Ovis aries: one gene and its partners. The protein of the gene in region 1 binds, or shares a complex with, the protein of each later gene. Links are inferred from orthologs where the notes say so. Each region holds a gene or a part of one and is shown on either strand. Other genes may lie near its edges.

Region 1 (8,097 bases):
CCAGAGTAGCTTCTCCCCTGAGTTTTGTCCTGTCAACCCACTGAGACCCAATTTTCTGAACTTCAAATTGGGAACCATCATTTACCTGGCAGCAAGACAAAAAATGTGAATTGTAGTCGTTCTGACAACTCCAGGATGGAAGTTCACGGCCCTCTCCGATAACAGTCCTCTCTGGGTGCTACATCCATCACCCCCTACCCCCTTTCCTCCCATACCTGACTTCTACTTCCGGCTTGTTGTGTCGTTCCACGACCTGGGAGGAGAAATTCTCCAAGCAGAGGGCAGCCTGCAGTGTGGCCCGCACGGCACTCAGGTAGGGGCGGAGAGTGGCAGTCTGGAGGAAAACCCCAAGGGACAATCAAAATCTGTCTCACAAAATCCACTGATCCCATAGTCCAGCTACACAGGAGCCAGGCAGTACTGAGGTCCTTGGCTCTCAGACACTGCAGTGAACAGAACAGACTAGGCCTTCAAGATGTCTTTCATTTTAAGACTAGAACAGTGGTTCTCAAAAGGGGACTGTTTTGCCTACCAGGGGACATATGGCAATGGCAAGACATTCTTCATTTTCACAACTGAGGTTGGGTAGGAGTTACTGGCATTGAATAGACAGAAGTCAGGGATACTGCTACATAGCTTACAATGTACAACAGAATTATTCAGCCCCAAATAGTGCTGAAGTTGAGAAACTCTGGTCTAGAGGCACACAGGTGAATAACTGTCTTCAATCTGCGCTTTGAGTCAACAAATGTATATATCTATAGTGTGCCAGGGCACACAAGGGGTTGGGAATTCAATGACCAAGACCATTTCTACCCTTAAATAGTTCAACCAGGTCAGGGAGACAGACAGTAACTATGATACAATGCATAAAATGTGAAATAGTTAAGATTTACAAATCATATTTGCAGAAGAAACTGGTTTTGATTTGAAGATGGAAATAGGATTAGGATTTTACAATGATAAAAACAAAAATGATATTCCTGGTAGAGGAAATGGCATCTAGCAACAAAGGACTTTCTTCAATTCCTTGTATTAGCTAAAAGTTCTTTTTCACCCCAGGCCTTCACACATGCCAAACCATCTATCTTGCAGGGTTTTCTCCCCCTTCTTTGCCTAAGTCATCCTTTAGATCTTGGCTTATTCAGAGAAGGCCTCTTCTTTCCTCAGAGGTCATTCTTGACTTCCCTTTTCATAGCACTTATAATTTACAATGATACACCCTTCAAATAACTCCAAGAAAAGTAATTTTCTCCTTTACTAAACTGAAAGCTCCATGGTTAACAGACCGTATCTATTCTACTCAAATTTACATACCCTGCAACTTGCTCAGTCAGGACCTTTCCTATACACCATCTTACTCAGTTTCTGTACAATAAGTGAATGAATGAAAAAATAACAAGATTAGAGTAACAAATAGGGGCATTACAGTAGTAATGAGTACAATGTTGCCAGGAAGCATTTTTTTAGATTCAATGGATGAGGTTGCAGATGGGGTCCAGAGATTCATGAGGAATCTCAAATGCTAGGCTACTGAGTTTAGCTCTTCTGTTAAAAGTGGTAAGGAACTTCTGGGGCTTTCTGAGGAGGAAGTTACACAACTACAACTGCATGGAGACTTTGTGGAGAATGGATTGGAGGAGAGGGAAGTGACAGAGCCAGCAGAGACGGTTATTTAAGTAGGGTAATAAGAGCCTGGCCTGGGGCAATGAGGGACAAGCAAGATTGTATCTGTCAAAGTTCATAGCAAATCTGAAAAAGGTACATTTTGGGTGGTCAACCCTATGACGTCTGCCCTTTCACAAATGGAGTAAGCACCTTCTTGTGTAATACTTCAACAAGTATGATGTTTAAAAAAATCAAGAGGCATCCCCTCAGTTTAACAACAAAAGAATATCCCAGGTTTCTAGCTGAGGTAAGAAAACACAGAGCAAGAATAAGGAATACAAGAGAACAAGCAAATTTAGGGAGAGGTGAGTTTTAATCCAGACGTCTAATTTCAAGGTGTCTTCAAGATATCCAGGTAAACCTTGAAAGAGAGCTAGGAAGGCAGATTTAGGAGTCATCATAAATTATATGGTCATGAAGACCTGTGCATTAAATAGGTATCGACAGGAAGAAGATAAAGAAGGGGAAGGCAGTGACCCAAACTCTCAATTGACGTTAAGAAACACCCACAATGATCAAAAGGGACGACTTCCTGAAAGGCAAAGGTCAGCGGCATCAGAGCTTAACATTCCATATTAAGGCTGATACGGTTGAATTCTGACCAGGAAGGGGTCTGCGTGGAGGCAGCAAAAGAGAGATCCTTCAGTGAGGTAAAAGTAAGAGCTGGTGGCAACATGAGGAGTGGGAAAAGGAAGTATGGAGGCTTCCCTCAGAGAACTGTGGGATCAAGCAAGCGAGAAAGAAAAGAGTTTATTTAGTGAACGTCTACTCTGGGTAGGGAGGTATTCCTACTACATGCCTCAGCGGCCCTACTACGGGCTATAAGGTGTACTACGTGCCTTCGAGGCGCTACCACAAACCGAGGAGGAGCGACTTCCGGCTTCTTTCTTGCCTCAGTATCCCCCACCAGCTTCAAAGGACAGAATAGGAAGCCTCAAAGCCTGCTTCTTACGAAGGCGTCCCCCGCTCGCCCCTTCCTCACCTCAGCCCCTGCCCCGCCCTCTTTCTTCCAGCCTCAGGGTACCCCCGCACCCCCAGCATCCCTCGGCCCAGGGCCTCTCCGCTCCAAAGTCGCATCTCCCCCAGACCCAGAGCCTAGAGGCAGAAGACGGGGGTCCCTGGCCCGAGGCCCGGCTCTCACCATCGCGGGCGCTGGCTGGGCCGGAAAGCGGAAGTGCGGAAGTGGCCCGCCCCGCGACGCCTGCCCTTTCTCCAGAAGCGCAGCCGCAGTCTCCGCCCGGACGTCCGGACTGTACCATCTGTGTTCCGAGCGGGGGAGGGGGAGGCTAAGAACATTTGGTCCCTCGTAAGTTTTCCCGTTAGGACTGTCTTAGTAGCTTTAGGCTTCTGTAGCTTAAAATCACTACTCAAGATTCTCCCGTTCCCCATGGAGCTCTTGCTTGTGACTTTGGCTTTCTCGTCTTTTTTCCGCCGCCTTCCCTCATAGTCATGCAATGGTGCAGCCCGACCTCAGGTTGGCACCATATTAGGGCAAGGCAAGGCGGAGGAGCCTTTCGATCCTTCCGGTTCTGCGCCCCCATCCTATCTTCAGGCCCCTCCTACCTGCAGCCTTTGGGGCTCGGCGAGACTAACTGCCGGGCCGAAAGCCTGGCTGCCGAGCCCCTCCCTCCAGCGCCGGGGTGTTCCCTAGGGTACGCCCGTGGCATACCTTCTGCACCCCACCTGCAAGCGGGCTAGCTCGCTGCCCGCAACCCTCCCCCACCAAAAGACTGGGGTTGGTACTCGCGTCTTCCCGCCCCCTTGTCAACTGCAGGGGGCCCTCACATAGCCAGTTCCGGGGCGGTTGCTCTCACCGACCGGAACTCTCCGCCCCTCCCGCGGCCCCGGGGCCGCTGGAGGCAGCAAGGAGAAGGTAGAGGGGGCGGGGGCCGCGATAGGGTGTCCTTAGAGAACTGGGACCCTGAAGGCGGGACATTGGGGCGATCCATGGGTGGGGCCAGCCATTAACCAGCCCCACTTTTCCTGTGCCAGGCACTGAACTGAGCTCTTGACTGGCATCAACTCTAAATCCTCAGAACATCCCAGGGAGGTAGGTACCATTATTACCCCATTTTACAGATTCAGACTTAAGGGAAAACAGATTCAGGCTTCTTTTGTCCCCATTTTACGCATGGAAAAACCGACTCAGAATCAATTAACATGTTCAGGGCTACATAGACATTGGTCAAGCCTGGGCTTGAATCCAGGTATATCTGGCTGTCCAGAGATCCAGGTATCTCTTTACTATGTGGGGCAAAGAGAAGGGGCAGAGGTGGGGAGGGGTGAGACAAGAAGAGGCTGGGAGGCACGAAGAACATTAGCCTAAGTACCGGATGCTTGGAACTCTGGGCTCAGCAGAACCCAGGAAGAGTGGAAGTGACGGGAAGAGCATCAGAAAGACAAGCATAGTAGTATAGTATATCATGGCAGTTAGTTGAACAAATTCAAAACTACCTGGATTCATGTTGGTAAGCTTGGACCTGCTGCATGCTTACAAAGTCTGTTTCCTCCTCTGTAAGATGAGGATGAGCATGGTCCCTGCTCTTGGGGTTGAGTGAGGAATTCAGTGAGTAGCCAGTAAAATGTCTGCCCCTCACTTGGCACACAGTAGGTGCTGTGAGAATAGTAGCTAAGCCATCACTCTCCCCCGAAGCTGTCGGTGGATGGAAGGAGCCCTTGGACTTTTCTAGTGCCACTTTTACCCCCATCAATGGTCCTTTCCTCTCCAGCTCCACAGGGTCCCCTATCCTGAGCCATGAGTGAGCTGAAGGACTGCCCCTTGCAGTTCCACGACTTCAAGTCAGTGGACCACCTGAAGGTCTGTCCTCGCTACACAGCGGTGTTGGCCCGCTCTGAGGATGACGGCATCGGTATCGAGGAGCTGGACACTCTGCAGCTGGAGCTTGAGACCCTGCTTTCCTCTGCCAGCCGACGCCTGCGGGTGCTTGAGGCTGAAACCCAGGTTATACCCTACAGAGGGGACATCACTACATGGATGTCACTACAGTCCGCTACAGGGATGGACTATGACAAGTTATGGGATGTGTCACTGAGTTAGCCTCAGCTGCTGAGGCCCAGGTTACAGGATCTCAGGGTTTGAAGAGAGAGATCCAAACATTGCTTGTGTAACACATAAAATATGCAAGAATGTGCATGATCCTTCTAAAATGTGAGATTTCTTATTCACTAAGCATCTAGGGACACCCCCCCCCCCCTCCTCACAATGTTCTGAGTCTGTAGAGTTAATTAGGACAATTCCAGCCTTTGGGGAGTGTGCTAACTAAAGGAAAGGGAGGTCAGACACGTATCAGGTGAATTGCTGTTCTGGTTAGGAGTACTGGGGGAACTGGAATGGGAGGCCTGGATTTGAATCCTGCAGTTTCTGAGTTGTGTGACGTTGCAAAACTTAACTGCCTGCTTCTGCAGATCAGTCCTCCATCTGAAAAGTGGGCTAGATAATAGGACCTACCCTCAGCTTTTGTGAGGATTAAGAGATTTTTTGCAAAGGCTCAGCCCAACGTCTGACACTTAAGAAAGCATATCAAATGTTATTTATTGGTCTGACTCTCATTATTTCTATTTATGGCATAAACATCCTCTGAGCCCTGTGTGCCAGGTGCTCTGCCAGAACTTGGGGACCAGAGATGGCTGAGATGAACTTCCTGGTCCCCAATAGCTTATAATCCTGTTGAAGAGACTAGGTACTCCGTTTATTCTAGTTATGACCAGATGACATGATTGGGCCTAGGGGTGCAAGGTACCAGAGACTCCTATAGAAAGAAGATGCCATTTTAACTGAACCTCATAAGATGAATAAAATTAACTTGTGGTCCCTGGGAACCCATGGAAGCTTTTCGAGTGGGGCTGTAGCACACAGCATCTAAGAAGCTAGATAGCTGATACAGAAAAGGCTTCCTAGTCATGGTGACATTTGAAGTGAAGGTTTGCTGGGAGGCATGCGTGCCTTCAATAGAAAGTTATCGCCAGCATATTTTCCTCGGGCTATCATGCACTGCGTTGTCATCTACCTGTTTGACCTGCTAAACACTGTGTGACCAGGTTGGGCGCTGCAGAGGTGAATCAATACAGACAAGTGAATGGAATGATGACAAGTATATGAAAAAGTCTTGTGAGATGGGCACAGAAAAGGAGCTGATTTTTGCAGTATGAGTAGAAGTTTGGTAGATAAAAAGAGGAAGGGGAGAGACTTAGAGCCTTCTTGAGTTCCAGATCCTAATTTTTCATGGGGAGATGGAGTTGTCCTGTGTCTTCCCTTCTCATCCTCAGTGACAGTCTTTGAATTTCAGATCCTCACTGACTGGCAGGATAAGAAAGGTGACCGACGATTCCTGAAGCTGGGTCGAGACCATGAGCTTGGAGCTCCCCCCAAACATGGGAAGCCCAAGAAGCAGAAACTGGAAGGGAAGGCGGGCCATGGGCCTGGCCCTGGCCCTGGGCGACCCAAATCCAAAAACCTTCAGCCCAAGATCCAGGAATATGAATTCACTGACGACCCAATTGATGTGCCACGTATCCCCAAGAATGACGCCCCCAACAGGTTCTGGGCCCGGGAACATAGATGGGCCTTGGGATTTGGGCACTGGAGGCTGTGGAGAGGCCTGGGGCTGAGGCTGGTGGGGCAGGGGGCAGGGGGCACCCCCTCAGGCTCTGCTTCTCCCTGCAGATTCTGGGCTTCGGTGGAGCCATACTGTGCTGATATCACCAGTGAGGAAGTGCGCACACTAGAGGAGCTACTGAAACCCCCAGAAGATGAGGCTGAACATTACAAGGTGAAGACCCCAGGCATGATGAGACAAGATGGAAACATCTTGGACATGATGGAGAACAAGAGGGCTCAGAGATGCCTCACAATTAACAGAGCTATATATCATCTTCCTTTTTCTCTCTCCCCAGCCTCCTGACAGTTCCATTAACTCACTTAGACGCCCAGGTTCTAGCTTTCAGCTTCCTCCCTTCTACCCTGCCACATCCTAAGGCATCTTCTTCAGTGCAGTCCTCCCTTTGTCTCTGTCATCCCCTTTGCTTTGGCTCAAAAATTCATCAGCTTTTCCCTTTACAGCCTCTTAACACTTGCTTGCCTCTAGAGGGATTCTCTTCTCTGCTTTTTTAATTGGATGCACCAGGTAGCATGTGGGATCTTAGTTCCCTGACCAGGGATCAATCCTGCACCCCTTGCAGTAGAAGTGAGCAGTCTTCACCACTGAACCGCCATGGAAGTTCCTCTCTCTCTTTTTTTTGTAATGTATAGAAGTTTTTTTATTTTTAGTTTTTATGATGAAAATAAAAGAGGTTCCGTTAAAGAAAATGTACAAAATACAGAAAAATGTTGGAGGGGAATTCTCCCATAGGTTCGCTATCATGATCAGAGGTGCTTATAACAGCCTTGTGTGGCTCCCATTGCCCACAGACTCAGGTCCAAGCTTCAGTCCTTGGTAGCACAGTGTCCTTGGCCACACCACCTCTTTACTGCTATTATTTGCCAGCCCCACCAAGCACCTTACCCTCACTCCAAGCTCACACAAGGTCCTTTCTGGTCTCTGGGCCTCTGTACATGCCAATCTCCCCTTGGCAAACTAACACCCTTCGAGTCCCTTACTGCACGTTACCTGCACCAAAATGGTTTTGCAGGTTTTCCAGCAGAAGGTTGGTCTGTCTGTTGCACTGCCACAACACCTTAACCTACTCTGTCACTCCACTTGTCTGAGTTTTTAAAAAACTTATTTGAAAAGGTAATCTATATGGGCAGTCACAAGTTCAAGCAGTGCATAAGCTATTTCTCTCATTTCTGACCTGAAGGCCTGTAGTTCTTTCGAGAGATAATAGCTCTCAACTGATATTGTCTGTGTACACACACCATTCTGCACGTTACATCATGGAAATTTTCCTGTATTGCCTTCTGTGTGTTTTAGTTGTTTATGTACCTGGCTTCTCTACTAAACTGTGAGTGTAGAGATTTTTCTCTCCTGTATCTCTTCTCACCTGAGCCTCAGGCCTCAACCCTGGACTAGATACTTGGGAGACATAAATGAAGGAAGGAGGGTGAGCGAAGAGCCTGTTGGCACTTCCAAGTGCACAAAGAGACCCTGCCACACCCCAGGCATTGCTGGCTGTATTTATCTCTTTGGGGCTGGGTGGGATGTCTCCCACAGATCCCGCCCCTAGGGAAGCACTACTCCCAGCGCTGGGCACAGGAGGACCTGCTGGAGGAGCAGAAGGACGGGGCCCGGGCAGCAGCTGTGGCTGACAAGAAGAAAGGCCTCTTGGGGCCCCTGACCGAACTGGACACTAAAGGTAAGTCCCTCACCTCCCTGCCCACCCCAGGCTAGGACTTGAGTTCCCAGAACTTCAGCCCACGAGTCTACCATGTGTCTGCCCAATTCAGATGTGGATGCCCTGCTGAAGAAGTCT
Region 2 (7,435 bases), on another chromosome or scaffold:
ATTAGTTTCAGATATTCAGTTCAGTTAAGTCGCTTAGTTTTGTCCGACTTTTTGCGACCCCATGAATCGCAGCACACCAGGCCTCCCTGTCCATCACCATCTCCTGGAGTTCACTCAAACTCACGTCCATCGAGTCGGTGATGCCATCCAGCCATCTCATCCTGGGTCGTCCCCTTTTCCTCCTGCCCTCAATCCCTCCCAGCATCAGGGTCTTTTTCAATGAGTCAGCTCTTCACATGAGGTGGCCAAAGTACTGGAGTTTCAGTTTTAGCATCATTCCTTCCAAAGAACAGCCAGGGCTGATCTCCTTTAGGATGGACTGGTTGGATCTCCTTGCAGTCCAAGGGACTCTCAAGAGTCTTCTCCAACACCACAGTTCAAAAGCATCAGTTCTTCGGTTCTCAGCCTTCTTCACAGTCCAACTCTCACATCCATACATGACCACTGGAAAAACCATAGCCTTGACTAGACTGACCTTTGTTGGCAAAGTAATGTCTCTGCTTTTGAATATGCTATCTAGGTTGGTCATAACTTTTCTTCCAAGGAGTCTTTTAATTTCAAGGCTGCAGTCACCATCTGCAGTGATTTTGGGGGTGTTCAACACTGTAATTCAATATTTGTATAGATTATACTCCTTTTAAAGTTATTATAAAATATTGGCTATATTTCCTGTGTGGTACAATATCCTTGTAGCTTATTTATTTTATACATAGTAGCTTGTACCTCTTAATCTACCCCATCTTGCCCCATCCTTCCCTCTCCTCACTGTTAACCACTAGTGTGTTCAATATCTGTGAGTCTACTTCTTTTCTGTTGTGTTCACTAGTTTGTTTTAGATTCTGTACATAAATGATATCATACAGTATTTGTCTTTCTTTGCCTCTTAAGTGTCTTTTAAGCTAGAATAACTTCCCCCTTTTATAATACATGATATTAATCTTTTTTAAGAGTTCGGGTCATTTGTCTGTTCCAAATCAGACTGGATTTGCTGATTATTTTCTCAAGATTCAGATTAAATGTTTGGTAAAAATGCTTCATAACTAATTGTGTTGTACATCACTTATTGCATCTGCCTGTTGATGATGATAATTGCTCCTATTTTAATTGTCCCAAACTAATGAATAAAGAAGAGAAATGGACTTCTTATGTAAGGTTTGCAGTTGGGCTAGATTAAGGCAAGATGATGTCATGGTGCATTGTCTAATTGGAAGTTTTGAAGACACTGGAATAGTGGAAAAGGGAACGAGAAATGTGTCATTACATGCTTGGCACATACTGGTATCGATGTGCCCAACTTCAGAATACTTACTCTGTAGCAATCAGTGGCACCCCACTCCAGTACTCTTGCCTGGAAAATCACATGGACAGAGGAGCCTGGAAGGCTGCAGTCCATGGGGTCGCTAAGGGTCGGACACAACTGAGCGACTTCACTTTCACTTTTCACTTTCACGCATTGGAGAAGGAAATGGCAACCCACTCCAGTGTTCTTGCCTGGAGAATCCCAGGGACGGGGGAGCCTGGTGGGCTGCTGTCTCTGGGGTCGCACAGAGTCAGACACGACTGAAGCGACTTAGCAGCAGCAGCAGCAATCAGTACCATTTACATTTTGAGAGCAGTTGAGCTTTTACAAAATAATACTGTCCCTCATATTAAATTGATGCTATTATTTAGAATTTGTACTTTTGTGTCAGTTTTCTAATTTTAATTGTTAGGAAGATTCTGTGAGCATCAGAAGGTTCAGTTCAGTTCAGTTCAGTCGCTCAGTTGTGTCCGACTTTTTGCGACCCCATGAATCGCAGCATGCGAGGCCTCCCTGTCCATCACCACCTCCCAGAGTTCACTCAGACTCACGTCCATCGAGTCAGTGATGCCATCCAGCCATCTCATCCTCTGTTGTCCCCTTCTCCTCCTGCCCCCAATCCCTCCCAGCATCAGAGTCTTTTCTAATGAGTCAACTCTTCGCATGAGATGGTTTTATATATATTTAAGAGACTGTAACAAAAATAATTTGCATTAGTTATGGGGCTGCAGGAAGAATTATTTTCCTTTAAAATGGGTCCACATATTAAGTAAAACAGTACTGATTTAGCTCTGTTTATTAGGCGCTTCTGAAGTCTTTAGCTTTTGGTCCAGAGAAACTGGCCATGGGAAATGATGATATAAACAGTAAATGAAAAACTACTTGACAGTTGGTTTTCTTATTTTCCAGTTATTAGGTAAATTGCAGTAGTTGCTACTGAGCAGATAATAGCAGCGTGGGTGAATAGCTCCTCAGGCACTCTGTACAGTAAGCACGGGGTGACAAATGAAAAGTGTTCTGGGAAGAGTCATTTTCTGCACCCGATTTTATTTTTATCCATTTACTTCCTTTGTCAGGGGAAAGCAGAAGATAGGAAATTTCAGGAGAACAGGTAAATTATCAGGAGCTTATTAAAAGTTACTTTTAGGAAATCAGACAGCTTTTGAAGTTTTTTTGTTTTGTTTTAGAAAGATAGGATTTTTGCCACAATGATTAGGTGCAAAACAGAGTATTATGAAGAACATAGGATCTAGAGTCAGAAGCTCTATTACTTTCTATTACCAAAAACATTTGGCAAATCACCCCCTCTGAACTTCAATTTCTTCACCTGCCAAATAGGAATAATAATATGGACCCCTACCAATTTCACAGCATAAAGTAGGATAAAAATGCTGTGTAAGCAATTGTTGTTCAGTCTCTCAGTCATGTCTGACTCTTTGCGACCCATGCTGCAGCAAGCCATGCTTCTCTGTCCTTCATTATCTTCTGGAGTTTGCTCAAACTTAGGTCCATTGAGTTGGTAATGCCATCCAACCATCTCATCCTCTGTCGCTTGTAAGCAATATATGTTTTAAACTGCTTTTATAAAATTGAATTGCTTTCCTATTTTACGAATGGTTTGTTGCAGTTAAATTCTAGAGGTTCATATATTGCCCAGCATGTGAGGAACCTATGCTATGCTGAAAATGTGCACCATTGAGCTATGCTCTTAAAATTTATCAGACCCTAAAAGTGATCAAGCAATTGATACAAGAAGATGGTAACTTACTTTTCAGTAGATACCCTTTTATACTGTTTACTATAAACACATATCACCTATGCAAGCTTTATGTAATTGGAACTGCTCAGGGATATGACTGTGGGTTGTTGAGACGTGCCCTGAAATGGCAGCAAGGTAAAACTGGACTATATAACCTGCCTAAAATTCTCCTGGAAAACTGAGCCAGACGTTTGATTAGGGTTGTAAACCACCTAGGAAGACAGGACAGGTCACCCCTTTGCAAGAGAACCAATGACACTCATCGTGTCTCCACTTTCAGGGGGAAAGGGGAGCCTGTGACTGAACTCAGCTGGCACTCCTGCCGACAGCTCCTCTACCAGGCAGTGGCCACAATCCTGGCCCACGCGGGCTTTGAGTGTGCTAACGAGAGTGTCCTTGAGACCCTGACTGATGTGGCGCACGAGTACTGCCTGAAGTTCACCAAGCTGCTGCGCTTTGCTGTGGATCGGGAAGCCCGGCTGGGGCAGACTCCCTTCCCCGACGTGATGGAGCAGGTGTTCCATGAAGTGGGCATCGGCAGCGTGCTCTCCCTCCAGAAATTCTGGCAGCACCGCATCAAGGACTATCACAGTTACATGCTGCAGGTGAGAGGACCCCGAGGAGGGGTGCACAAGGATGTGTGATCTGGGGGTGTTTAGTGGGATCCCTAACACTTGCCCCAGGGTGCAGAGCACAGGGCCTGGAATAGAATGAACTTGACTTTCCTCTTGGCCCCAGATGTGACCCACACTGACCTGGCCAAACCCAGGGTTCTTCTTCAGTCAGTGAAATTATAGCATGTGGCTAGCCTGTTCTTACTCAACACATATTTATGGAGTGCCTATTGTGCAATTTAGCAGTTTAATAGGACAAGTTCCTTGAGCTTGCATTCTTGTTGAGAGAGAGACAAAAACAGGTAAACAAACAATGATCAAAATAATTTCAGATAGCGTTAAGTGCTTTAAACCAGGAGCAAACGAGTGAGATGACACTGCTCTCAAAGGTAGAGTGTGATGGGGGAGATGGCGTTTTTGGTTAAAACCAGAACTATCTAATCTCTTCCACCCTTGTGGCCTTAGGCATTTTGTTCACTGTTTTGCTTTCCCCAAATCTGAAATATAAGAAATTCATAACACCCAATCGGCTTTGCTAAGTGATCCAGATGTCCTATAGCGCTCATTAGCCACTTGTTGTGTTTATGTCAAATGTTAGTTTTTATAGCCAAAAATGTCACCTTTTGTCCCAGTTCTGATATAATACATCTAAATATTTTACCTTTATGTACCTTTTAATTAATCACATACACATTCTCTGCCAAACAAATTTTCTTTACATGGCCCTGCCATTTATGAATTTCAAACTCAAATTCCTCCCATTAGCAGTGATGCTTTATTCGTATTCATCTTCTGTTTGCACCAGATGCCACAAGCTGACTATCCAACTTGCTTTTAATGTTCCTTTGGAAAATTGACTCTTGCTTGCCAACAGATTAGTAAGCAGCTCTCTGAAGAGTATGAGAGGATCGTCAATCCTGAGAAGGCCACAGAGGACACGAAGCCTGTCAAGATCAAGGAGGAACCTGTGAGCGACATCACCTTCCCTGTCAGTGAAGAACTGGAGGCCGACCTTGCTTCTGGAGACCAGTCGCTGCCCATGGGAGTTCTCGGTGCTCAGAACGAGCGCTTCCCATCTAACCTGGAGGTCGAGGCTTCACCACAGGCTTCAAGTAAGAGAGAACCTACCCATCTTGATTCTGGGAGATGTGCCAGCCTCAGTACTTCTTGCATTTTAGACTCAAAGTCTGGAGATGGAAGAGCAAAAATAGGGATGGGCAGGGGAATGGAAAGTCTAAGAAGAAATATAGCTTCACTGATCTAGAGATACAAACATTCTCTTCTTAATTAGTGAAGAGAGAACTAGCACAGTTTTACAGACATTCTTTGAAATTATTCCTAGTTAGGATGTAGAGGCAATGTTACTCTCTTCAGTTCAGTTCAGTCGCTCAGTCGTATCCTGCTCTTTGCAACCTCATGGACTGCAGCACGCCAGGCTTCCCTGTTAATCCCAATTCTCAGAGCTTACTCAGACTCATGTCCATTGAGTCAGTGATGCCATCCAATCATCTCATCCTCTGTCATCCCCTTCTCCTCCTGCCATCAATCTTTCCCAGCATCAGGGTCTTTTCCAATAAGTCTGTTCTTTGCATCAGGTGGCCAAAGTATTGGAGTTTCAGCTTCAGCATCAGTCCTTCCAATGAATATACAGGACTAATTTCTTTTAGGATGGACTGGTTGGATCTCCTTGCAGTCCAAGGGACTCTCAAGAGCCTTCTCCAGTACCACAGTTCAAAAGCATCAGTTCTTCAGCACTCAGTTTTCTTTATAGTCCAACTCTCATATCCATACATGACTACTGGAAAAACCATAGCTTTGACTAGACGGACCTTTGTCAGCAAAGTGATGTCTCTGCTTTTTAATATGCTATCTAGGTTGGTCATAACTTTCCTTTCAAGGAGTAAGCATCTTTTAATTTCACTGCAATCACCATCTGCAGTGATTTTGAAGCCCCCAAAAATAAAGTCTGACAGTTTCTACTGTTTCTCCATCTATTTGCCATGAAGTGATGGGACCAGATGCCATGATCTTAGTTTTCTGAATGTTGAGCTTTAAGCCAACTTTTTCACTCTGTTTCACTTTCATCAAGAGGCTGTTTAGTTCTTCTTCCCTTTCTGCCATAAAGGTGGTGTCATCTGCATATCTGAGGTAACTGATATTTCTCCCAGCCATCTTGATTCCAGCTTGTGCTTCATCCAGTCAGGCATTTCTCATATACTCTGCATGTAAGTTAAATAAGCAGGGTGACAATATACAACCCTGACATACTCCTTTCCCAATTTAGAACCGGTCTGTTGTTCTATGTCCAGTTCTAACTGTTGCTTCCTGACCTGCATACAGATTTCTCAGGAGGCAGGTCAGGTAGTCTGGTATTCCCATCTCTAAGAATTTTCCACAGTTTGTCTGATCCACACAGTCAAAGGCTTTGGTGTAGTCAATAAAGCAGAAGTAGATGTTTTTCTGGAACTCTGTTTTTTCAATGATCCAATGGATGTTGGCAATATGATCTCTGGTTCCTCTGCCTTTTCTAAATCTAGCTTGAACATCTGGAAATTCATGGTTCATGTACTGTTGAAGCCTGGCTTGGAGATTTTTGAGCATTACTTTTAGCGTGTAAGATGACTGCAATTGTGCAGCAGTTTGAACATTCTTTGGCATTGCCTTTCTTTGGGATTGGAATGAAAACTGACCTTTTCCAGTCTTGTGGCTACTGCTGAGTTTTTCAAATTTGCTGTTACTCTCTTGATGACAGTTAATTCAGCCGACCCAGCTAGGTGGACAGATGGCCTCCTGTTCTCTGTATTCTGGTCTTTCCTGGTGCTTGTGCTGAGTTAATTAAGGCAACTTCCAGATAAGTGGAGTAATGTTAATTGCTCAAGGATGTTTGAATAGTTGGGGTTGCTTGGTCAGAGTAGTACCAACAAGTTGAACCTGAAAGGGATTAAAATAGGGCAACTCAGTGATAGGCAGCTGGCTGCTTCTTCCAGACAGACTCCGTGATTCCGTTCAGAACCAGATGGCTCAATGATCCCTAAGTCAAAAAGACTGCAAATAACTCTAGAGGCTCAGTTCTTTACAATTTATTTATTTATTTATTGGCTGCGCCATGCATCATGTGGGATTTTAGTTCCCTGATCAGGGATCAAACCTGAGCCCCCTGCAGTGGAAGTCTTAACCACTGGACTTCTAGGGAAGTCCCAGTTCTTTAGAAATATAGATTATGTCATCAATGACCTAACGATGCAAACAGCCAGTCTTTCAGTGTGGCCTAAACAGAATTAGACCACATTTTCAAAGTACTGGGCAGAGAGCCTTTCACCATGGGAGATGTAATAACCACAGAACAGCATTGCTAGAAGACACAGAGGCAGGAGAGCCAGAAAGAAATTCTTGCAGACATAGGGGTCATGTCTCTTTTCAGCAGTCTGGGAACTGCTACCACCATTTTGTAGTGATCACTAACTTTCCATAATGTGAGAGAGAACCAGGGACCCAAACACAAGGCAGAAAAACAAGACAGCCCTGTAAAAGGACAGGCAAATGTAACACTTGCCCAAGAACCCATGGTTGTACCTACCTTTGAACCATGAATATTTCCACCTGCATAGCTTTAGTTTCCCTGGTTTAGAGGAAATGGAGATGGATGAGGTGAGGTAAAGGAAGGGGAGGAAGTGGAAAAGAAGATATTTTGAGTTGGTAATTTTTTGAGCAGAGAATAACAACCATATTCTCTAGGCAAGTAGAGAATCAGAATGAAAACTG
Region 3 (7,978 bases), on another chromosome or scaffold:
GTTTTATGGTGTGGTATTTTAGGCAGACAATAAAAGCATAGGTAACATGCTGTATATCTTTCACAAATATAGAACACTGAAATTAGACTTGTGATTATGTTTATTCTTATATTTAAGAGAACGTGTCTGATATCTTCTCTATTTTATTGAAAAGACAATATACCGCTTAATAAACCCGATAGTCCCACATAGCTGCCAGCCTGGGAGGTCTCCTTTTTGCTCATGGCTTTGGACGTTTGCACCGCTGTGGGTGGCAACGATATACTGTTTTGGGGTTCTGCCATTCTCACTTAACAGCAAACATTTTTCCATGTTTAAACCTGGTGTGTATATTGACACTCGTTTTCGGGCCCGTTTTTCTTTTCATGCTAGGTGGAATTTTTGTTTCAAACTACATAAGTCTTACGGAAGCTTCTTGTGGGAACAAAACCATGCAGAGATATTCAAAGAAAATGCTCCAGTCCCCAGGGTGGCCAAGGTTAACAGTCTGGCAGCATCTCCCCGCCCACCATAGGGAGGAGGGGAGGAGCCACGTGGCTACCGCCCCTCCCCCACTCTCCGGGGCGGGCAGGTCTCTGCAGGGTGTCCGAGACGTAAGAGCTGCCTAAGCTGTTGGTAGCCCCCACCTTCCGCTGGGGCGCAGAGACCCCGTCTGGAAGCGGAGTCGCGGCGGAGCGGGGTGGGGAGGGAAGACGGTGCACCGACGCTTCACCTCCCACTTCCTGCCGGACCGGAGGGCGCCCCGGAGGACGCTGGGGGTGATGTCAGCACCGCTGCGGCGCGGAGGCCTGGGCGGGGGAGGGGCCCCGGGGTTGGAGGGGTCCTGGCGGGCGGACCTCTATGGGAAAGCAGGAGGGGCCCGAGACGGTACCACCTGCTCCTTTCACTTTAGATCCCAGTAACTACAGGGGCGGGCGAGAGGGGACCCCCCATTCCCCCCCACCCCGGGCCTGACCGTCTCGCGTCAGTCAGTGGTTTGCCTCGTAGCACGGCTGTCACTTTTGTCCCGACTCCGATCTGGGTGTTCTGACTGCAGATCACGGTGTACCCCTCTGTTTCCCACTACGGCACCCGGGGCCTGCTTTTGTTTGGCTCACTTAACATTTTCTGATGAGTTGTCAACATTAAAGATCAGATTTTACACATATTCCCACATTTCTGCTCTTGCTCGCAAACCAGATCGTCGGCCCCCGCTGGGCTCAAAGCCCGGTGGGGATGGGACCCAGGCACCCCGAGTTCAAGGTACCCCCAGCCCAGGTTTGTTCCACCCTTTTCCTTTCCTGTGTTTTGAGTAGTCAGCTTCAGGTGCAAAATTCCTATTCTCTCTTTGCAGGGGTTCCCCGACGCGGTCGCCCGGGGAGGCCCCTTCGCAGGCTCCAACCCCCGCGCTCATTGTCTGAACCCGCCCCGGGAGCTGGGCTCGCGGGGGCCGCCGGCTCTTTTGTTAGGCGGGTAGAAAAGATCATTTGTGTGTCAACAGCTTCCCGCATTGTGCTGCGGGCCGTGTGACTGCGGTGTGGCCTGTTCTGCCGGAGGCGCTTCTCTGGGTCTACCCTCCTCCCTCCCCACCCCAAAAGAGAGAGGAAACCACTAGACATGTACTAGAATACCATCTTTCGGTGAAAAAAACAAAAAACGCAGGCGAGAATTTCAGGTGAATTCTTCCTACAGAGAAGGTGCTCGTAAGGTTATTTTAAATAACTTACTTCGTCAAAAGGACAGAACGGGAGAGAAGGACCCCAGGAAAACCTCCAAGCTGGACGCTCCCTTTCCCTACGCGAGCTGCTGGTCCCGGCCGGCACCACCGTCTCACCCAGTGATTTACAGACACTCGCGGCCAGGGGCCGCGCAGCCGGAGGAGATGAGTCACCCTGGCGTGGCCTCGGGCGCCGACCCCTGCCCCGCCCCCGCCGCCCAAGCTGCGGACATCACAGCGCAAGACGCCCGGTCTCGGGCGGACCGAGGCGCCGGTCCGGGGGGCAGGCCCGCGCTCGCCCCGCCCGGTGCCCCGAGCTTCGGGGCCTGCGCCCGCCCGGGAGCAATGGCGACGACGCCCAGGCTACCTCGCTGACCCAGCCCCCAGGCAGTGCCCTCAAGGGGTGCCGGGTTCCCGCGGGCTGCGGCGGCCTTAGCTCCGATATAGGCGTCCCCGCTCCCTCGCCCGCCCGCCCGCCCGCCCGGCGATCCCATCAGCTCCGGCCGCAGCCATTTTGGAGCAAGCGGAGACAAAGAGCCAGTCATTGCTGCCGCCCCCACCAGGCCCCAGCCGCGGTCCCCGCCCGTCTTGTCCTCCGGGTCGTCAGCCTCTGGCCCGTCCGGCAACCTGCACCCCACCATCCCCGCCAGACCAAGGACTCCCGGGCCCCCAGCCCACTAGCCCGCAAACCCCCGGCCGCCCGCCCGCGCCTCGGCTTCTGCCGCTCGCAGCCATTGGCCGCGCCTTTTAAGTGCACGGTACGGCCAATCACGGGACGCCGGGCAGCCGGGCGGGGGGGCGCCGCGGCCAATGGTGAGGCGCCGGGCGGCGGGCGGGGGCGGGCACGCCGCCGCGCCTGCGCACCGCGTTGCCACCGCCCTCCCCCCCGCCCGGCCGCCCGCGCCCCCCGCCCGGCCGCCGCCCCCGCCCCGCCCGGCGCGCGCCGCCCCCCGCCCGCCCCCGCGGCCGCCCGCCCGCCCGCCCGCCCGCCCGCGCGGAGCCTCCTCCCCGCCCAGCGCCGGCCGAGCGGCGGCGGCGGCGGGCCGAGGAGGAAAGATGGCGGCGGGCTCGGATCTGCTGGACGAGGTCTTCTTCAACAGCGAGGTGGACGAGAAAGTGGTGAGCGACCTGGTGGGCTCGCTCGAGTCGCAGCTGGCGGCCAGCGCGGCCCACCACCACCACCTCGCGCCCCGCGCGCCCGAGGCGCGGGCCGCGGCCGCCGGCGCGCTCGGGAACCATGTCGGAGCCGGAGCCGTGCCGGCCGAGGGCGCGCCCGCAGCGGCGCCGGAGCCGCCCCCCGCAGGTAGAGCGCGGCGCGGCCTGAGCGCGGGCGGCCGCCGGCCGGGCCCGCGTCCTCACCGCGCCGCCCCGCTTGTCTCCGCAGGGCCCGCCGCGAAGCTGAGCGCGCTCGAGGCCGGCGCGGGCGCCGGGGCCGGAGCCGGAGCGGGCGCCGCGGCCGGGGCCTGCCCGCCGGGGGCAGCGGCCGCTCCCGAGCCCGCCGCCAAGCCTGCCGCCCGCAACGGCCCGCCCGGCGGCCCCGGCGCCGCGCAAACTTTGAATGGGAGCGCCGCGCTGGGGAACTCGCTCCGCGCCGCCGCCGCACCTGCTGTCAGCCTGCTCCACAACGGGCCCGCGCCCGCGCCGCCGCCGCCCAAGCCCGCCGCCGCCACTGTCATCCAGACGCCGCCCTTCCTCGGCGCCCCCGCCGCGCCCGCGCCCCGCGTCCCCTCGCCCCCCGCGGCCCCTGCGCCCGCCGCGCCCCCTGCGCCCCCCGCGCCCGCCGCCGCCGCCCCGCCGCCGCCGCCGCCCGCGGCCGCCAGCCTGGCCCGGCCGCCCGGGCCCCCCGCCGGACCCCCGGCGGCCGCGCAGAACGGGGGCAGCGCTGCGCCCGCGCCCGCCCCCACGCCCGCCCCGGCCCCCGCGCCCGCGCCCGCCCCGGCGCCCGCCGCCAACAGTCAGCCCGGGCCCGCCGCCGCGCCCGCGCAGGTGGCCAAGGCCGACTCGCCCAAGACCGCGCTGCAGCCGGCGCCCCCGCCGCCGCAGACCCTGGCGACCAGCTGCCCGGCCGGCGCGGGGTCCGGCATGATCCTCGGGCCAACTATGCAAGGGGCACTGCCCGCCGCCGCCGCCGCCGGCCTCCCGCCGCCGGCCCCGGGCACCCCCACCGGGCTGCCCAAGGGCTCGGCCAGCGCGGTGACCCAGAGCCTGCCCAGGACGCCCTCGGCCACCACCGGCGGGATCCGGGCCACGCTGACGCCCACGGTCCTCGCCCCACGCCTGCCGCAGCCGCCGCAGAACCCCACCAACATCCAGAACTTCCAGCTGCCCCCAGGTGAGTGGCCGCGCCGCCGAGCGGCTGTGTGTGTGCTCCCCAGCCGGGAGTCCAGGAAGTTGTCTGGCTGGCAGGACGCGGAGGTCATGAAGCCCTGCCGGTGCGTCTCTGCCCCGGTCCGGGCCGGTCCCGGGCCTGTATGTGCTCTAGTGTTGCGTGATGTGGCTGCTGGGGCCTCTTAGCTGTGCGGGGCTTGGCTTCTACTCTCCACTTTGCGTTGGGGAACTTTCTCTGTCGGGACTTCCGCCGAGTGGGCCCTCTTCTCTCCTCCTGGCCTTGTGTGTCCCTGCCCGGTGCCCCCACAGTGGACAGCAGTAGCAGCTGGCGCTCTCGGGACAACTTGCTGGGTTATTCAGTCTGGGCCGGTGACTTCCCCACGTTTGGCTGTTCTCTCCCTGGTTTCTGGGATCAGGCATATGGTTTGTGTCCTCACTGAACTCTTCTGCTCTGTTACTGGGCTGGTCTGTGATTGGTGTCCCCTTCTGGTGGTCTAGGGACCCCCTTTCCCGGTGAGGTCAGGGGAGTGACGCCCCCTCCGTGAGGCTGGGCAAGCCTGCGTGGAAAGCTTTTGCTCCCCTGCTGACACCAGGATGGCAGAGTTCCCAGGTGAGCTTGTAGGGATCCCGGGGCACACACCCTTCCTGGTCACAGCCCTTGCCTCACGCGGCTCCTGCAGTCGTTTTTCAGCACTTCCCGTAGTGGCCGTGTGGTTCTGCACGGAGTCCTCACTTGGAGGACGCCCGGTTACCTTGATTGTTACCAATGCAGTCAGCGGTGGGCTGGGGCTCCCCGTTCAGTGAGTCTTTTGGAGGTACAGATGGTGTAGGAGGACAGGCAGTGTCTCCAAACCTACACTCCATCTTCTGTTCTCTGGGCAGCTTTTTAAGGCTTTCTAGGTCCCCGTGGCATTAAGTGTGTCCCGCTGCTTTCTTTCGGGCTTGCTGGGCAGAGAGAAACCCCAGCGCTGGAGGCTCCCAGTCTCTGCTTCCATCCCCGGCCTGGCCTGCGTGGACGCAGAGCGCTCCTCCCCTGCCGTGTAGTAACGTGTGCTGGTGGCAGGAGCAGTGGAAGCAGCACCGCCTGTGTGTGCGTCCCCTCGTGCTTTCCGAAGCAGCCGTTGGTCACCTTGAGAGGATTTCAGCGTCTTAGAAGGAAGGTCTTGTTGTCACAGTGCCGTGAGGTTTGGAGCGGTGGCGGCACCTGGCAGGGATCTGATTTCACACCACAGAAGGGAGGAGGCAAGGTTCCAGCCAAGAGTGCTGTTTGGGGGTGGTCGTGAGGGCTGCCCTGATCCCAGGAGGAGGTGATGTGAAGTAGGTACCTGAGAGGTGCAGGGTGCCTCTTACAACATGCTTTGTTTTTGAGTTTGTAGGAGGTTTTCATTAAAGGTTCTGTTTTGCACATTATGTGTATTTTGACCTTTTAGTGGAAAATATGTTTGATCTCTAGTGACGCTTAAAAAAGAGAAGTCATGGTGGTAACAGGTTATGTAAAACGTCAAAATACTTTTTAGTTACTCATTAAAGTATCCCCTCAGTGGTTCTCAGCCCCTGCCCCACTCCTGGCCAGGACAGTTCCCTGCATGACGCTTTTGTTCTGAAAACTGTCAGTGAAGTTTGTGAGTCAGTGGAGCTGGTGAGGCTGGCGCTGTGCCCGCGGAGGAGGCCCCCCGGGGCACTCGTGTGATGCCTGTAGGTGTGGCGGTTTGGGGCTGACTGGATCCCCTCGCCTCTGCATAGGTGCAGCCTTCACTGCCTGCCGCCTTCTGGGGGAGGAAGCTGTGGTTCTGAAAGGGCGCCTCTGTCAGCTTTGTCATGATTGACCCTGGACGCACTTTCATCTCCTGTTCTACCGGCGGTGTTAAGGATGTCTGCATGTGACAAGTAGGCGACTCCTTGAAGAAAACTGTAAAAGTGCTGACTCTTTGCATGAGTTCTCATGAGTCTTTGCGGTAGTCCCGTGTGTGTGTGTGTGTGTGTGCGTGCGCGTGCGTGTGTGTGTGTATGAGTAGAGAACAGCTCATGTTGACATTTGGGTGACAAATGCGGAGAGCTGTGCTTTAAAGGGGCCAAATGCTTTCTAGAAAATAAACTCACATCCATCTCTTCATGCTTCCCCTACCCCCACAGTCGATCCGCTCATTTGGAGCTCTGATTAATTCTGTTCCATCATTTTAATAAAAGCAGGAGCAGAAAAAGCATAGTTAAAACTACTACCAGTTCCCCACAACAAAGTACTTTCTTTTAAATAGTACAAATTAATTTTATAAATCAAAGTGACAGATTATGAATATTCTAGTTACCTCATGTAATTGATCGATTGGAAGACACTAAGTTCTACTTGAGGTCTCCTGTTCATTGAAAGCTCTCATTATAAAAATGTATAAAGCAGAGGTGGAATTAACTTGTGAAAATAGCTATCGCCTGGCTGATAATGCACTCTGGTTAGTACTCAGGGGTTAGGGGTGGGCAGGGTTTTCAAAGCTACACATAGGTGTCAAGTGAAATAACAGACTGTTGGCAATTGAGTACCGGTGAGAGAGGCCTGCCCCACTGTCGGTGGGTGGTGGTGATGGAAACAGAGGGACAGAGGCTTCACAGAGTCCCTGAGGGCCGCCAGGCCTTTCGTATTTCATCCTCCCAGCCCACTGTGAGCTCCTGTTGAATTTGGTTTCAGTAGATTCAGTTTTGATGTCTTTGTCAGGATGGTTTTGTAAAGAGACGTTGATGTTATTGTGATTAATTTACTTGTTTGAAGGAACCAGAGTCTCAGTTTTAATCTGCTGTGGGGAATATTGAGAACACGTGAGTCTTCAGAGAGATTGTTGTAGCAAAGGCGGTGGTCCCAAGAACAGTGAAGAGCACTAGTTAGTTCTATACAGCTTAGAGTAGTCATAACATAAAAGTAATATTATGATTGTAGTTGAAAGGAGAGAAAAGTGATATGACACCAAAATTAGCATGTGCGCAAATGGTTTTAAGAGATCTTTTCAGATAGGTGTTACGTTAGAGATGCTCATTTCTAAAGGTTATCTTTTGTTGGCAAGTTTGCATATTCAGTAGTGTGTGTCTCTGTCTGCTCTGCTTTCATGGAGAATTTGTCCTCCTGTGATGCTCAGGTTTGGCTGAAGTACAGTTCTCATTCCAGGAGAGAACGCCTTTCCTCTATATCCTGGCTTCAGGACTGACTTGGCATGGGGCTGACTTAAGATGAATAGTCTTAAGGTGGCTGTGCTTGGAAAGACGGGGTCTAGGGTGGGGTTCCCATCCTCGGTGAATGGAACTGTTGGATGGTGGGGAAAGAGGAAGAAGAACCTGGGGGCCAGCTTCTGTGTAGACCGGGTTGAGTTCTGGGATGGTCGACTCTGAGCAGGATGGCAGGGCTTGGGGCTCAGGATGTTCTGGTGGCCGACTTCTGCAGAAGTGTTTGGCACAAGGGATAGCCTTAGGAGTTTATATGTTGTCACTTGAGGGCACTCTTCACCTGGGACAGAAGACATGGTTTCTGGGGCCTCAGTTTCCCCAGGTAGAGAGTGGGCTTGACCCTGTTGTGAAGGCTGTGAAACTGCATTGGGATGAACCGTGCACGACTGTCAAGTAGTGTTTATTCACATGCTGTCTCAGCTCCCTGGCCTTTGTCATCAGCTTCAAGCAGTACGTCCTGTGGATGTAGCCGAGTCTACAGGATGGTGTTATTCCCATCAAAACTGCGCCCAGATTGGATAGGTTCTCAGCACCCTGGGGAGCCTGGTTCTGTAGGTGAGAAAGTTGCTGAGGTTTCACAAGTGGGCTGCAGATCTGGGGGATGTGTCCTGACAGACATGGGGGACACAGAGTGCAACTCTCTGCGGAGAGAGTAGACCTGGGTAGGGGCTCACTTTAGGCCAAAGGCCTTGACCAAGTTTTCCTCTTGATGTACTTAGATAACAGTGGGATTTGAAAAGAAGGAAG
Region 4 (8,113 bases), on another chromosome or scaffold:
TTTTGTTGACTATGAGGGCTACTCTGTTTCTTCTAAGGGATTCTTGCCCACAATAGTAGATATGGTAGTAGTAGTAGATGTAATGGTCATCTGAATTAAATTCACCTATTTCAGTCCATCTGAATGGAATTCACACATTTCAGTCCACAGAAGAACTATGCAAAAAAAGATGTTCATGACCCAGATAACCACTATGATGTGATCACTCACCACAAAGCTAGTGGAGGTGATGGAATTCCAGCTGAACTATTTCAAATCCTAAAAGATGATGCTGTGAAAGTGCTGCACTCAACATGCCAGAAAGTTTGGAAGACTCAGCTGAGGCCACAGGACTGGACAATGTCAGTTTTCATTCCAATCCGAAAGAAGGGCAATGCCAAATAATGTTCAAACTACTGCACAATTGCATTCATCTCACACGCTGGCAAAGTAATGCTCAACATTCTCCAAGCTGGCCTTCAACAGTATGTGAACCATGAACTTCCAGATGTTCAAGCTGGATTTAGAAAAGGCAGAGGAACCAGAGATCAAATTGCCAACATCTGTTGGATCATGGAAAAAGCAAGAGAATTCCAGAAAAACATCTACTTCAGCTTTATTGATTATGCCAAAGCCTTTGACTGTGTAGATCACAACAAAATGTGGAAAATTCTTAAAGAGATGGGAATACAAGACCACTTTACCTGCCTCCTGAGAAATCTGTATGCAGGTCAAGAAGCAGTTAGAACTGGACAGGGAACAACAGACTGGTTCCAAACTGGGAAAGGAGTACGTCAAGGCTGCATATTGTCACCCTGTTTCTTTAACTTATATGCAGAGTACGCCATGTGAAATGCCAGGCTAGATGAAGCACAAGCTGGAATCAAGATTGCTGGGAGAAATATCAATAACCTCAGATATGCAGATGACACCACCCTTAAGGCAGAAAGGAAGATGAACTAAAAAGCCTCTTGATGAAAGTGAAAGAGGAGAGTGAAAAAGCTGGCTTAATACTCACATTCAAGAAACTAAGATCATGGCATCCAGTCCCATCACTCCATAGAAAATAGATGGAGAAACAATGGAAACAGTGACAGACTTAATTTTCTTGGGCTCCCAAATCACTGCAGATGGTGACTGCAACCATGAAATTAAAAGACACTTGCTCCTTGGAAGAAAAGCTATGACCAACCTGGAAAGCATATTAAAAAGGAGAGACATTACTTTGCCAACAAAGGTCCGTCTCGTCAAAGCTATGGTTTCTCCAGTAGTCATGTATGGATGTGAGAGTTGGACTATAAAGAAAGCTGAGCACTGAAGAATTGATGCCTTTGAACTGTGACGTTGGAGAAGATTCTTGAGAGTCCCTTGGACTGCAAGGAGATCAAACTAGTCCATCCTAAAGGAAATCAATGCTAAATAGTCATTGGAAGGACTGATGCTGAAGCTGAAACTCCAATACTTTGGCCATCTGATGAGATGAACTGACTCACTGGAAAAGACCCTGATGCTGGGAAAAATTGAAGGCAGAAGGAGAAGGGGATGACAGAGGATGAGATGGTATCCTCTGGGTGGCATCATTGGATGCCATCATTGACTCTATGGACATGAGTTTGAGTAAGCTCCAGGAATTGGTGATAGACAGGGAAGCCTGGAGTGCTGCAGTCCATGAGGTCGCAGAGTCGCATACAGCTGAGTGAATGAACTGAACTGAACTATCTGGTGTTTTCAAACTGCAGATCATTTAAAAATTAAATTAAAATAAATTTAATCAGTCATACTGAGCATTTTATTTAAAGAACAGACTATCAAATATTAGAGTATATATTTCAATGTGATAATTATACATATTATTGTTAAAACTTGTCTCACTTATAAATATCCACATACCTACGTGGGTTATGGGTTCTGGTGTTAAACATATTTCTTACTGTGAATCATGGCCAAAAAAATTGAAAGCTCCTGGTCTAGATCAGTTTGTTCAACAGAAATACAAGGTGAGCCACATATGTAAATAAAAATTTCCAGAAAACTTTCCACAAAAAAGTAAAAAGAAATAGGAAATTAATTTTAATATTTAACTCATATAAAAATACTTTTCAACATGTTACCAATAAAAATATTATTGAGCCATTTTATTCTTTTTGTCTTTAAAATCCAGCACATATCTCACACTTAGAGAACACCTTAGCTCAGACTAGGTACATTCAGTGGCAGTAGTCAATAACCACACTATTAAGTTGCTCCTGGAGTAGTGCAGGTCAGTTTTGCAATTACCTACCTTAGGAGGCAAACTCTAAATTCACTCTTAGCTTTGTGAATTTAAACTTAGGAACTGAACAAGATTGTAAACTCACACCAGTGGCTACCTCTCCCATCACACTCAACCCTAGAGATGGCACTGAAATTGATAGATCAGTAAAAACTGTGAAACCTCTGAGGATATGTGTGTGTGCATGTGTGCATGTATGTTGATAAACAGGGAGTGATGGGGCCAACACATCACAGGTTTTCCTGTTTTGGGTGCATCCTTCACCTTTTACCAATGCTAGGCTTTAGCCTCTCCTTCTGGGTAGACAAGGTAGCTGATACCTTCCGGGAAATACAAATTCATAGAGAAAAGTAATGAGATGCAGAGGAAGGTGCAACTGCTAGTAAAGCAAGAAACTGAACAACTTAAATGCTCATCTCCTCCCCCCTCTCTGCCCTTGCCCCTACCCATGTTTCATAATCTTACATTATGTCAAATTCCACTAGTTTTATATTTCAGTCTTGAGATCACCATGTATGTCATGATTAGACTTTCTTAGGAAACATTTGCAGAACACCGCTTAAGGTTCAGTAAAAATAACCAATAGTTATTTATTATGTGTTTAGTTCAGTTCAGTTGCCCAGTGGTGTCCGACTCTTTGCGACCACACGGACTCTATCTTATTTAATCCTCACATAACTCGATCTTCCCCATGTCCCAAGTTCACTTTTCTTGTCTGCACCTATCTCATACCGTTGTGAGAGTCAAAGGAGACCAAATATGCAGCGCAGATTCTTTACCGTCTGAGCCACAACGTAAGTCCTCAAACATGCAGCAGTGCTTTTAAACCTATGAAGCATGTTGCAAAATGGCACATACTGTTTTAAAATATACAACTAAAATGCGGCCTGCTTGTAATAATGGTTAACATAGCACGAATACAGCATATACACATTTCACAATCACAAAATTCAGGTTCTTAAAAACTTTTTATTGAAATATAACATATATGCGTAAAGTTCACAAAACGTGAGCTTGCAGCCCAATTAATTTTTATAAGGCATAAATGGGAAAAAGAAAAGTAACCGCCATCCAGAAAAAAATATAAACATTACCAGTAACTCAGAAGCCTCCTTCTGGTAAATGATATATGCTTTTAAGATAAAGACCTGGTTTTGAATCTTGACGCTTTCCTCCTGTGTGACTTTGGCATTTAAAAAATGTCTTTAGGTCTTGATTCAGTCATCTGTATCGTGAGAATAATGGTACTTTATATGACTGCTGAATAAAAGGTCACATAATGTAAAACGTCCATCGCAGTGCCTGAAAAATAGCTGGTCTGTAATAAATGTAACTATTATCCGGCAAATGCAAGAGGCTGCCCCGACGTCCCACTTCCTGCCTTTTTGCCACTCACTTTTGAAAGTTGCTCTTGCTGCGATTCCTTTTTCTCCTTCTTTATCGCCCCTCCTACTGCCGTAAATTGCCCTCCAGAGATGTCGTAAAACGCTCCTCCCCGCCCTCCATATGGCGAAAACGCAATCACGCTTGACGGCGCGAGGTGGCTCAGCCGCAAGATGGCGGCGCTGGCAGAGGAGCAGACGGAGGTGGCGGTGAAGTTAGAGCCTGAGGGACCGCCGACGCTGCTACCTCCGCAGGCGGGGGACGGCGCTGGCGAAGGTGGCGGCGGCACAACCAACAGCGGCCCCAACGGCGGCGGCGGGAACGTTGCGGCGGCGTCGTCGGCCGGCGGGGATGGTGGGACCCCCAAACCCTCGGTGGCTGTCTCCGCCGTTGCACCGGCGGGGGCGGCCCCGGTGCCCGCCGCTGCTCCGGAGGCCAGCGCTCCCCACGACCGACAGACTCTGCTCGCCGTGCTGCAGTTTCTACGGCAGAGCAACCTCCGCGAGGCCGAAGAAGCGCTGCGCCGTGAGGCCCGGCTGCTGGAGGAGGCAGTGGCGGGCTCCGGAGCCCCGGGAGAGGCAGACAGCGCCGGCGCTGAGACAGCCAGCGCGCTTCTTAGCCGGGTCACCGCCTCGGCGCCCGGCCCTTCGGCCCCGGATCCTCCAGTCAGCGGCGCTTCGGGGTCCGCCGCCGTCTCGGGCTTAGCGACAGGTTCTGTGGCTCCGGGTAAAGGTGAGCCGCTGGGTCCGGGGTAGGCAGGACCGGCACGGCGGGGAGTGAGCCGGGAAGGCAGAGGCTGGCAGGCCTGCACCTCTGCGGGCTTGTTTTGAATTTCCTGGGCCCGCCTCTAGGGCCACATGCCCGCCCCTTTCCCTAGTGCGCCGGCTGCGCAGTCAAACCCTCTTCCGAGCTGTCAGTTCCAGCGAGAGGCTGTGGAGAGCTATTGAGCCGAAGGATGTATGGGGACGGTGGGCGCGGAGAGGCGGGAACTTCCAGGCTTTTGGTTCTTATTTGGGCTCTTGAGCTTTGGGCAGGGATGCAGCAACATTATTTGTACTAGCGTACTTTTACTATAAATATTTTGTGTTGTTTATCTTAATTTTCACAGTTCCACTGTGAGGTAGACAGTACTTCTATTTTAGAGATGAGAAACCAGACCGAGAAAGGCCAAGGTATTTGCTTTGGACCGCACAGCCAGAGAGTGGTGGTACATAGTGAAGCCAGTCTTTCTCAAAATATAGGCTAAATACCATTGGTATCAAATCTTTTAGAGAAATGCAGATTCCTGGGCATCACTTCAGACGTAGTGAATCAGATCCTGTGAAGGTGGAGTTTGGGAATCTGCATTTTCAAATAAATGCTTCAGGGACTTCCCTGGTGGTCCAGTGGTTAGGGAACGCATGTAAGAATTAAAGATTTTAAAATTTAAAAAATAAAAACTAAAAAAAAAAAAGAATCTGCCTTCCAACGTAGGGCATGTGGGAACGTGGTAGGGAACTAAGATCTCTCAAGCGTGGGGCAACTAGGCCCGCGCTCTGCAACTACTGAGCCCGCATGCGGCAAGGAAAAATCCTCGGAGCCGCTAGTAAGATCCAACGCAGCCAAAAATAAATAAATATTCTAAGGATTAAAAAAAAAAAATGCTTCCAAGAGATGTTGATCTATGGCAAGGTTTGAGACCCATTCATTTAGGAACAGGTATTGGACTTCAGTTTCTGTCTCTGTTGCTTTTACTTGTGTGATGCTGATTGTTACTCTTCCTAAGCTTGAGAGTTTTTTTCCTTCTATTAAACGGGTTATTGTGAGATTCATATATATGTAAAATGTCTGGCACTGACAAGTTTATGCCAAGTACCTATCCCTGACACCTGAGGCTCCCGCTCCCCTTTTCCTTCAGCAACTGTTGTCAAAAAGTCCATGCAGTAAAAGTCATATACAACATAAAGTTTCAAAGGTGATCCTGAGCCAGTAAAAAATGTTTATTGAATTAAATTACCCATTGTAGAGCCTCTTGCCAAATTAACCTGTGTTTATGAGACCTAATCTTGGCAGCATTTCCAGGAGTGAGGTATGAATAAGCGCTGTAACCCATAAGTAGAACTGTGTGCAAATGTGATTGAGAGGAATCTTTTTTGAATCTGAATTTGGGAATGAACTATAAGATGGATGAATTATGTGGTTGATTATTTTGCTATAATCTCTCATCTCTTTAGAAACTTGACCTTCAGATTGTAACTGAGAAACCAATAGAAAGGAAAAGAGGCCATCATAGTAACCAAAAAAACTGAAAATTTGTGCAGTAAAGAGCATAACAGTACTGTAATCACAACTTAAAAAAAATTTCCCACAAACCCTCATTTGATTGACAGATGTATCGTTGTTTGGTATTGAAATATTACAAATAAATACTCATGCTTTTTGCCTTGAAATGGTGGTTATGGAAATTGTTTTAAGCATATAAAATAGATTTATCTTTTGGAAATATAAAAGGCAAGTTCTTCCCACCATTAACATGGTTGTATTTTATAGGGAGTGATAGATGGACATACGTGAAGGTAACACAGGATAAGATATGTTGCTGAAAAGTTATAAAATACTCAGGTAGCTCAGAGGGCTGGGAATGTTACTCCAGGGCATGGCTTTGTGGTGGTGAGTGCCATTTGCACTGAGCCTTGAGAGAAGAGTAATACCGTTGTTTGATTTGCACATACCATGTTTTATAAAATTTGTTTTTAAAATAGTGAAGCTCTAGGAAAAATGCTGAATCTTTTTGCTGTTGATCTGAAAATTTTTATTTTAAGATGTGGACAAACCAAGGAAGTGTTGGATGGGTAACTGAAACAAACTGAATCCCATTAAAAGATTTTGTGATTGTGTCGGGGAAGAGTGTTTGAGAGGAGAGGGACAAACATCTGTGAAACAGTTCTCCTCTGGACCTTAACAAAACAGCCTTAGTCTTTTGGTGCTTGTCAGGTCATTTTCTTGAAGTTATTTTTCATTTTTTAAACAGTTGGAAGTGTAGCTGTGGAAGACCAGCCAGATGTCAGTGCCGTGCTCTCAGCCTACAGCCAACAGGGAGACCCCACGATGTATGAAGAATACTATAGCGGACTGAAACACTTCATTGAATGTTCCTTGGACTGCCATCGGGCAGAACTATCCCAACTCTTTTATCCCCTATTTGTACACATGTATTTGGAACTAGTCTACAATCAACATGAGAATGAAGCAAAATCATTCTTTGAGAAGTATGTGAATTTATAAAAAATATGTATATATAGCTATATATATACACACACACACAAAATGTTTATATACATCTGTAACTACACAAATGTCAGATTGCAACTCGAAAAATACTTTATGAAGGAGAGGTACCTGGTGCCTCTGCTAAACTTAAAATGAAGGGTTTGATCTTGTTGAAGTCAGGAAAGGCTCCTAGAGGTGATGTTTGAGATAGGATCTGAAGGCTGGAGAGGAGTTAACCAGAGGAAGAGAAAAGGGAAAAACTTGTGTGACAGCCCTGTGGCAGGAAGGATCATGGTAGGCCCCGAGGTGAAAGAAGGCTAGTGTGGCTGGAGCAGAGTATGGGGGGTGGGGTTTGGTACTACATGAAGCTTGATGGTTGGTTAGTGGCTGGGACAGGCAGGTTCTTAGGCCATGTTGAGGGTCTTTGTTTACCCTAAGATCAGTAGTTAGTCATATTGGGTGGGATTAGATTTGGCTGAGATTCACTGAAAAATCAAACAATAGCTGCCTAAATAAAAATTTTATTTTTGCTTCTAAGAGCAGTAGAGAATTCACCTGCAATGCAGGAGACACAGGTTTAATCCCTGGGTCAGGAGGATCTCCTGGAGGAGGAAATGGCAACCCACTCCAGTATTCTTGCCTGGAAAATCATATGGACAGAGGTCCTGGTGTGCTACAGTCCATGGGGGTGCAAAGAGTTGGACACGACTAAGCATACACGCACTGCTGCTGCTACTAAGAGCAGTATGAAGCTGTGTTAGGATTAGATTACATGAGAGTGACTAGAACCCCAAACAGTATAGGCTTGAGTATAATAAAATTCTGTTTCTCTCTCTCATGATGGAAGGCATTCTAGGACTGGTATGGAGTCCTTTGTGTCTCTTGATCATGTAGTGCTAACATCCTTGTCATGCAGTTTCCACTGTGGTACATGGTGACTCTCCAGCTCTGAGAAATCAGATAAGTGTTCGAGTGAGCAGGGAGGGTGCACATCCTTCCTGGAAGTGCAAGTATTTCTCCCTTTTTTATGTCATTAGTCATTGGCCAAGGAAGGTAGGAAATATGGTCTTTACCTAGATGTCTGTGTGCTCAGCTAGTATTCCGGTGTTTTATTGTGGAGGAAGAAAGAAAAAAATGAATATCTGGGGACAGACATCTTTGCTGTTTGCTACAGAAGTTGTTGAAGAACCATGCTTTATTAGATTTTATGTTTTGAAAGGACCTTTATGT

Evidence for each region.
Region 2: TADA3 (region 1) and SUPT7L share a complex: the UniProt entries of both Homo sapiens proteins name them as parts of the STAGA transcription coactivator-HAT complex. The link is inferred for Ovis aries from reciprocal best matches to the Homo sapiens genes TADA3 and SUPT7L.
Region 3: TADA3 (region 1) and TAF4 share a complex: the UniProt entries of both Homo sapiens proteins name them as parts of the TFTC-HAT complex. The link is inferred for Ovis aries from reciprocal best matches to the Homo sapiens genes TADA3 and TAF4.
Region 4: TADA3 (region 1) and TAF5 share a complex: the UniProt entries of both Homo sapiens proteins name them as parts of the TFTC-HAT complex. The link is inferred for Ovis aries from reciprocal best matches to the Homo sapiens genes TADA3 and TAF5.

Annotation. Positions count from the first base shown.
Region 1 is NC_056072.1:16,892,593-16,900,689, forward strand, and holds the start of TADA3 (transcriptional adapter 3), read left to right. Parts: upstream 1-3,184; 5' UTR 3,185-3,403; exon of another isoform or gene 3,404-3,541; intron 3,542-3,660; 5' UTR 3,661-3,718; intron 3,719-4,397; 5' UTR 4,398-4,423; coding exon 4,424-4,630; intron 4,631-5,975; coding exon 5,976-6,226; intron 6,227-6,352; coding exon 6,353-6,458; intron 6,459-7,838; coding exon 7,839-7,980; intron 7,981-8,071; coding exon 8,072-8,097. Other genes in the region: ARPC4 (actin-related protein 2/3 complex subunit 4), read right to left, coding at 216-334, 2,810-2,812. UniProt on the Homo sapiens protein: Functions as a component of the PCAF complex. The PCAF complex is capable of efficiently acetylating histones in a nucleosomal context. The PCAF complex could be considered as the human version of the yeast SAGA complex.
Region 2 is NC_056056.1:34,675,597-34,683,031, reverse strand, and holds part of SUPT7L (STAGA complex 65 subunit gamma), read left to right. Parts: intron 1-3,339; coding exon 3,340-3,664; intron 3,665-4,547; coding exon 4,548-4,785; intron 4,786-7,435.
Region 3 is NC_056066.1:54,788,761-54,796,738, forward strand, and holds the start of TAF4 (transcription initiation factor TFIID subunit 4), read left to right. Parts: upstream 1-2,692; 5' UTR 2,693-2,752; coding exon 2,753-4,028; intron 4,029-7,978. UniProt on the Homo sapiens protein: The TFIID basal transcription factor complex plays a major role in the initiation of RNA polymerase II (Pol II)-dependent transcription.
Region 4 is NC_056075.1:23,654,760-23,662,872, forward strand, and holds the start of TAF5 (transcription initiation factor TFIID subunit 5), read left to right. Parts: upstream 1-3,770; 5' UTR 3,771-3,807; coding exon 3,808-4,366; intron 4,367-6,644; coding exon 6,645-6,882; intron 6,883-8,113. UniProt on the Homo sapiens protein: The TFIID basal transcription factor complex plays a major role in the initiation of RNA polymerase II (Pol II)-dependent transcription.